2 linked regions of the Callithrix jacchus genome follow. The protein of the gene in region 2 binds, or shares a complex with, the protein of the main gene of each other region. Links are inferred from orthologs where the notes say so. Each region holds a gene or a part of one and is shown on either strand. Other genes may lie near its edges.

Region 1 (3,309 bases), on a different chromosome or scaffold from region 2:
GCAATGGCGCAATCTCGGCTCACCGCAACCTCCGCTTCCTGGGTTCAGGCAATTCTCCTGCCTCAGCCTCCTGAGTAACTGGGATTACAGGCACACGCCACCATGCCCAGCTAATTTTTTGTATTTTAGTAGAGACGGGGTTTCACCATGTTGACCAGGTTGGTCTCGATCTCTCGACCTCGTGATCCACCCGCCTCGGCCTCCCAAAGTGCTGGGATTACAGGCTTGAGCCACCGCGCCCAGCCCTTGAGTTTTTTTCTTCTATGCTGGCTCACACCTGTAATCCCAGCCCTTTGGGAGGCCAAAGCAAGAGGACTGCTTAGGTAGGAGTTCAAAACCAGCCTGGCAACATAGTGGGACCCTGACTCTACAAAAAAAAAAAAAAAAAAAAAAGATGGAAAATAGTTGGGTGTGGTAGCAGGCACCTGCAGTCTCAGCTATTCAGGAGGCTGAAGTGGGAGGATCACTTGGGCCTGAGAGGTCCAGGCTGCAGTGAAAACTGAGATCGTGCCACTTCATTCCAGCCTAGGCAATAGAGTGAGACCTATCTTGGAACAAAAGAATTTTTTTTTTTCCCGTTCCCCAGAAAATATTTTTTAGAACAAACACATAGTTAACTGTAAGAACAAAATAGTATATTCGGCAGATACTGTCTATTCTGAAACAACTACCAAACTATTTCCAGAAATACAGTAGAAAATATGTAAGGACATGCATGGGGATGAAATACACTAGTTCAGGATGATGTCCTCTAGGGAGGGAAAGGAAAGATACTTGAGTAATACCTATTTTAAAGAACAGAGAAGTGAAGCAAATGTGGGGAAATGTCAACATCTGTTAAACTGGGAGAGGATACATGGCTGTGTCATATGACTCTTGGGTGTGTGAAACTTTTCATAATTCAAATTTTTAATTAAAATTACAAACATTGAGAAGAAATATGCATCAATACTGGCTGTCTTAGGTTGTCTAGGAGAGTGGAAATAAAGGAAAACTGTGTAACTTGCTACATGTTCTATAAGCCCACCTCTGATTTTTTGCTTAAAACATGACACACTTCCTGGAATAATTTCAAAATGGTAACCATCCAGAGAGTCAGAAGATAAAAAGGGGGCAGAAGAGAGAAAACTGACACATTCAACAAACCTGCCTGGGTTTGATCTACCTGTCTTTAGAAGGCAACGTCGAAACCTTAACCTAGACAGCAAAGGTGATTCCCAGTCAACACGGTCGTCGATTCAAACTCACACTTAATCAGCTATACGATGAGCAGAGGCCTTTTAGGCTAAATACCTTACGAGGCAGAGATGTCGAAGGAGACAGTTGAAGACCCAACAGGAGCCCAAATGAATACTAGTTCTAGGTCAAAAAGGCAGTCCCGACGATTGTGGCAGCGCAGAAAGTGCCCGAAGCGCCACTAGGCCCAGGCGTCGATTGCATCAGCTCACCCGGAAGCGGTGCCAGGCGCCGCCGGAAGGGGCGGAGCGGGTCGAATACTGTAAAAGAGAGCCGGAGCCTCGCGGCTGAGTCTGGAGGAGGTCACGTGAAAGCCGTCCCGCGTGCACTCCGCGGCTGCTGGTCCCAGTATGGTCGATGACGCTGGTGCTGCTGAGTCCCATTGGGGCAAACAGACCCCGGCCCACTCCCTGGAGCAGCTGCGTAGGTTACCACTTCCGCTGCCACAGATTCGCATCCGGCCCTGGTGGTTTCCGGTGCAGGAACTGAGAAACCCTTTGGTGTTCTACCTGGAGGCATGGCTGGCAGACGTGCTCTTTGGTGAGCAACCTAGACTCTTAGTCTCTCAGTCTGAGAGAGGCTTGGCAGAGCAGCTCTCTACAGCCTCTTTCCCAGATTCTCAAGCCAGGAGTGTTGCTGTGGTGCCCACCTTCCAGCTGTTCCCTTCCCTGGTCAACATTTTCTTCAAATCAGCTTCTAACCTGTGACTGCGGCCCCTAAATAGTCTTTCCTTACTTGTTTAGGCCCAGACCGAGCCATAATTCCAGAAATGGAGTGGACTAGCCAGGCCCTGTTGACAGTGGACATAGTGGACTCTGGGAACCTAGTAGAAATCACCGTTTTTGGACGGCCCCGTGTACAGAATCGGGTGAAGAGCATGCTCCTGTGCCTGGCATGGTTTCACCGAGAACATCGAGCCCGAGGTGAGGGTCTTTGAGAAATTACACATGGAGGAAGCCACGAGTGACCATACTGGTCTTGCTCGGCTTCCTTCCATCCTCCCTTAACCTCTTAATTTCTTGGTTTCCGCACCCCAGGAAGTTGCACGAAGTTTTTTGGGAGGGGATCCCCGAGGTAGGACCTTGGGAAAGTCAGTGGAGATCTGATAGATTCAGGCCCATCACTGCCCAAGTCAGCCTCAGCTGGGCTACAGCACTATCGCAGATCCTCCTCTCCTCCCCAACTCCCAATCACTGAGTAGTTTGAAACAGCGAACACTTCTCCCTGTCCATGGTTAGTATCAACTCTTTCTCTTCCAGCTGAGAAGATGAAACACCTTGAGAAGAACTTGAAGGCCCAAGCATCAGACCCCCACACTCCCCAGGATTCTGTTGCTTAAGACAATAGTGTCAGTAGCATCTTGAGAACTTTGCAACTTCTGCTGCTAAAGTTGAAGAGAAGCAAGTATAGCATTCCTAAATCCCTGCATTTGTTTTTCCTGTGTCTTGATTCAGTGTGGTTTATTTTGTTGCAAGAGTGAATTTGAACTATTCTAATAAATGGCTATTTTGCCCAGTGACATTAAGATCTTCATACACTTATAATAAAGCAAATTTATAAAAGATTGACTCATTCATGTTTTGATATGAAGGGTAGGTAGAAGGCTGGCAGGTTGTAGTTTTGTAGGGTTTATTCCTGAATTCCCTCATCTTGAAACTCCTAATCCTTTTATGATTTTATGGTCAGAGTCAGGCCCTCAGCCACAGGGGGCAGATAGCCTCACAAATGGTGATCTGTTTTGTTTTTAGTCATTGGTTCTCAAACTTTAAAGCTTGTAATAAATCACCTTGGGAGTTTGTTAAAACATCATTTCCTAGGCTCCTTCTTCAGAAGATTCTGATTCGGTACTGTTGGGGTATGGTTTATTATTTGCATTTCTGATGAGCTCACAAGTACTCCCAAAGCAGCTCATCTGAATTTCTCACTTTGAAGCTGGTAGTTGACCCCCTGAGGAGCACCGGCTGTGCCTTTTCTTAGAGTGAGGCCTTCGTTGGCCACTCTAAGAAAAGTGATTCCAACGAGCAAGCCTGGGCAGTTAGCATTCATTAACCCTAGCATTGCAATCCCCATGGA
Region 2 (4,278 bases):
TATAGATGCTGTATACATATATACTATACATTCACATATATACTGTCTACGTATATCCATATATCCATATATAGGCTGTATACATATATACTATACATTGACATATATACTGTCTACGTATATGCATATATCCATATAGATGCTGTATGCATATATACTATACATTCACATATATACTGTGTACGTATATGCATATATACATATATATGTATAGCATATATGAATATATGTATAGAGTATATGTATGAACATAGGTATTCAGTATATATAGGAATATGTTCATATATGAATATCTACATACATGAAGTGGTCACATATATATAATATATATATTTTTTATGAGGGGGTCTTGCACAGTTGCTCAGACAGGAATGCAGTGGCACAATCATAGCTCACTGCAGCCTCAACCTCCTGGGCTTACGCGATCCTCCTGCCTCAGCCTCCCAAGCAGCTGAGACTATAGGTGCATGACCACGCTCGGCTAATTTTTTAATGTTTTGTAGAGACGGGGTGTCCCTCTGTTCCTAGGTTGGTCTCCAACTCCTGGGCTGAAGCGATCCTCCCACCTCAGCCTCCAAAAGTGCTGGGATCACAGGCGTGAGCCATGGTGTCTGACCTCATATTTTGAATAGGCCAAAACAGAGCACCGGAATCCCAGTCCGCCCTTCCCCCCGACCCCACATGGCAGGTCTCTCTCTCTCAGTCGCATCTCTCAGTCTCTCTCTCAGACGTCTGTCCCCAGCGCATGCAGCCCCTCTAGCCTCCCTGTCTGCTCCTGTAACCAGCCCACCTCTGCCTGAGAGAGGCCACTCTTCCTTCTGTCTGGATTACTCTCTCCCACCCGGGGCTTGGATCTGGGAACCCTGTACCAGCCTCAGGGCCTCTGCTGTCCTGCTTTCTGCTCTCAGAGCCTTTGTCACTGGGCTGGAAGAGCAGTTGGGAAGATTCCGTGATAAATGCATAGCCTGGGGTTAGGACCATCAAGGGGACCCAGTAAGTTCGCTCCAGAAAGAGGACTGGAAGCTTCGTTTGCATTGCACGTTATTTGATATTCAGGAAAATGTAATTAGTCCATATCTAAGAATTGGGGTGACAGCTCTAAAGATTGCACCCCCACTCACCTCCCACCTCCCACTCCTCACCTCCAGCCACAAGCCACTACCGGACAGGGCTAAAAATGCATAAAACAATGCAACTACTCGCCACTTATCCCTCCCCAAGTTCCACCTTCGGAGACTCAAGCCCCCACGCCCTCCTAAATATCCCCGCCCAAGCTGGGACCCCAAATTGCCCATGGCTGTGCAATTCCGCCCTTCTTGGCAGCGGGACCGAAAGGGTTAAGCGGAGGCTCCTGACTTGTTGAGCGACAGCTTGGCCGGCGGCCGGGGAGAGCCGACCAATCAGCGAAGGCGTACGCGACCCACGTGCGTAAACGGCCTTGCGATTGGCCAGCGCCGCCAGAGGCCTCCCCCCCGACCCGCCGAGCCCGAACCCACGTGCAGCTACCGCGCCTTCATTGATCGGCTTCGCGGTCCAGGTGGCAGCTAGTTGGGACCCATGGGCGGGGCGGGACGGGGCGGCGACAGGGCGGGGCGGGGCGGGGCCCGATGGGTCAAATGGCCCCCGTGGAGGGAAAGAGGAGTTTCCTCTTGGCCTGAACTTGGCTGACCTCTGCCGCTTCCGCCCTGTGAGAGACGTGAGTTGCCAGGCGCGCTCCTGGGGGTTGGGGGGACTCCAAGGTTCCCGGGTCGGGGAAGGGTCTGCAGGGACGTGGAGGGGCAGGGCTGCGGCAAGGAAGGAGCTGGGTGCTGCCGCAGGGATGGAGGTGGAGAGAGGTCATTTCTTCTGTCTGATGAATCACGCCTAGTGCACCTGGCTAACTCCTATTCATCCTTCAAAACCCCTTTCTAGTGATCTCCCTGTGCTTTAGGAAATTGTCTTAAAACTAAGGTTGAGGTTTGGAGACCTTCTCAGGGCTCCCCCATCCCTGACTGTCCCCAGGAGGGAGTGTATGTGTCCAGCCCCATCGTCACCCCAACCTCCTAGACTGAGGGATGAGGGGCAGGGCTGTTCTTTCTGGGGCTCCACCCCCATGCATCTGGGCAGCTGGAGAGGCATTGGTGAGGCCAGGACCTAGGAAACGCAGTGGGGAGCTGTGGGACTGGGTCCCTGGGGACTTACTAAACTGGGAGGTGCAAGAGGCCCCGGGGGTGGGGCAGGGGTGGGTTCCCTCCCTGGAACTGCTTTATTTTCTGTCTCTCAGAACTTGCTGTCTCCTTGTTTTAGACTCTGGCTGAAGTACTGGAGGCTTAACTGCCTGAAGATGACCTCTAGGGACCAGCCCAGTCCCAAGGGCACCCCAAAAGGCGTTTTGGTGAGGAGGGCATGGGGTGGCATCAGCCCTCACGGGAAGCCTGGGTCCCATGCAGTTCGGTTCCTTTCTGATCCTGTATCCACCTGTGACCTGGGCTGGCCCCATCCAGGCCTCGCAGCTGAAGACAATACCAATCACTGCTACTCAAGACAGGTGCCAAGGAGCTGGGTTTTTTGTTTTTTTTTTTTCCAAAGTGAGTCCAGATCTGAAGGGAGCTGTTTTTTAAAAAATCAAGTGTAGGCGGGACATAGGACCTCACAACTGTCATTCCCATCATCTTGGGAGGCGGAGGCGGAAGGATCACTTGAGCCTAGGAGTTTGAGGCCAGCCTGGACAACGTAGTGAGACCCCCATTGCTACAAAAAATACAACTAAAAGAATCCGCGGGGACTAGTGGCATGCCTCATGTAGTTCCAGCTACCTGGGAGGCTGAGGCAGGGGGGTTGCTTGAGCCCAAGGGGTTAGAGACTACAGTGAACTCTGACTGTGCCACTGCACTCCAGCATTGGCGTGAGATCCCATGTGAAAAACATATTTCAGCTTCTAATCACATATGTGATAACACAGGAACACAACACATATCCGGTTATATATATATATATATATTTTTTTTTTGAGACGGAGTTTCGCTCTTGTTACCCAGGCTGGAGTGCAATGGCGCGATCTCGGCTCACCGCAACCTCCGCCCCCTGGGTTCAGGCAATTCTCCTGCCTCAGCCTCCTGAGTGGCTGGGATTACAGGCACACGCCACCGTGCCCAGCTAATTTTTTGTAATTTTTAGTAGAGACGGGGTTTCACCATGTTGACCAGGATGGTCTCGATCTGTTGACCTCGTGATCCACCCGCCTCGGCCTCCCAAAGTGCTGGGATTACAGGCTTGAGCCACCGCGCCCGGCCCCGGTTATATTTTATAGCACTTCCCAGAGATGACCATTTCTAAGTGTAGGAGAGCTGAGCAAACTATTTTTTTTATTAAGGGGTCAGATGGTGGATATAGTATTTTATTTTGAGGCTTTATCGAGTCTCAGTTTTGTCACCCAGGCTGGAGTGCAGTGGCGTGATCTCAGCTCACTACAGCTTCCGTCTCCTGGGTTCAAGTGATTCTCCTGCCTCAGCCTCTCGAGTAGCTGGGATTGCAGGCGCCCGCCACCATGCCCAGCTAATTTTTCTATTTTTAGTAGAGACGGGGTTTGGCCACGTTGCCCAGGCCGGTCTCGAACTTGACCTCAGGTGATGTGGCCCATCTCGGCCTCCGAAAGTGCTGGGATTGCAGGCATGGGCCACCGCGCCCAGCTCAAGCCTTCTATTTTCAAAAATATGTTGTACTTCTAGCTTTATCACAAGAATGTGGTGAATATTTTAGACTTAGGCCCAATGCAAAATGGAAGATACTCTTAGGTGCTAAGTTAACAAAAGAGAAAACGAATTCCGGTTTGAGGAAGTCCCACCCTACCTTCTACGAGGCTGCTCAAATTCCTGCAGCCTGTGTTACATTGCTGCAGAAGTTATTTCAAAAACAGCGAAAACCAGCTGGGCACGGTGGCCCACACCTGTAATCACAGCACTTTGGGAGGGCGAGGCGGGTGGATCCCCTGAGGTCAGGAGTTCGAGACCAGCCTGACCAGCATGGTGAAACCCCATCTCTACTAAAAATACAAAATATCAGCCAGGCGTGGTGGCAGGCACCTGTAATCCCAGCTACTCGGGAGGCTGAGGCAGGAGAGTCGCTTGAACCCGGGAGGAAGATGTTTCAGTGAGCTGAGATCGAATGTCTGCTCTCTAGCCTGGGCAACAAGAGCAAAACTCCATTTCAAACAAAAATCAAAAAGCAGAAACCGCAATTACTTTTACACCAGCCTAATACCTGCACCTTGGTTGAGAGGGAGACCTGGGGGCTTGGGTG

What was found. The genes of interacting proteins can lie anywhere in the genome.
Region 1: the proteins of TLE6 (region 2) and OOEP are in contact, whole or in part, in a cryo-EM structure (PDB 8H94), measured with the Mus musculus proteins. The link is inferred for Callithrix jacchus from reciprocal best matches to the Homo sapiens genes TLE6 and OOEP. Residues at the interface, in NP_444484.1 of Mus musculus: Trp256, Ser258, Phe304, Thr305, Arg306, His307, Val318, Asn320, Val322, Asn323, Glu332, Ser333, Asn354, Ser355, Arg356, Leu373, Ala374, Ala375, Pro376, Ser377, Leu378; in NP_080756.1 of Mus musculus: Arg32, Pro33, Trp34, Trp35, Pro37, Gln39, Glu40, Glu67, Trp70, Met71, Gln73, Gln94, Pro95.

Annotation. Positions count from the first base shown.
Region 1 is NC_133505.1:78,457,592-78,460,900, reverse strand, and holds OOEP (oocyte-expressed protein homolog), read left to right. Parts: upstream 1-1,481; 5' UTR 1,482-1,586; coding exon 1,587-1,776; intron 1,777-1,979; coding exon 1,980-2,159; intron 2,160-2,495; coding exon 2,496-2,575; 3' UTR 2,576-2,798; downstream 2,799-3,309. UniProt on the Homo sapiens protein: Component of the subcortical maternal complex (SCMC), a multiprotein complex that plays a key role in early embryonic development.
Region 2 is NC_133523.1:2,755,673-2,759,950, forward strand, and holds the start of TLE6 (transducin-like enhancer protein 6), read left to right. Parts: upstream 1-1,469; 5' UTR 1,470-1,537; exon of another isoform or gene 1,538-1,696; intron 1,697-2,286; 5' UTR 2,287-2,323; coding exon 2,324-2,374; intron 2,375-2,383; exon of another isoform or gene 2,384-2,527; intron 2,528-4,278. UniProt on the Homo sapiens protein: Component of the subcortical maternal complex (SCMC), a multiprotein complex that plays a key role in early embryonic development.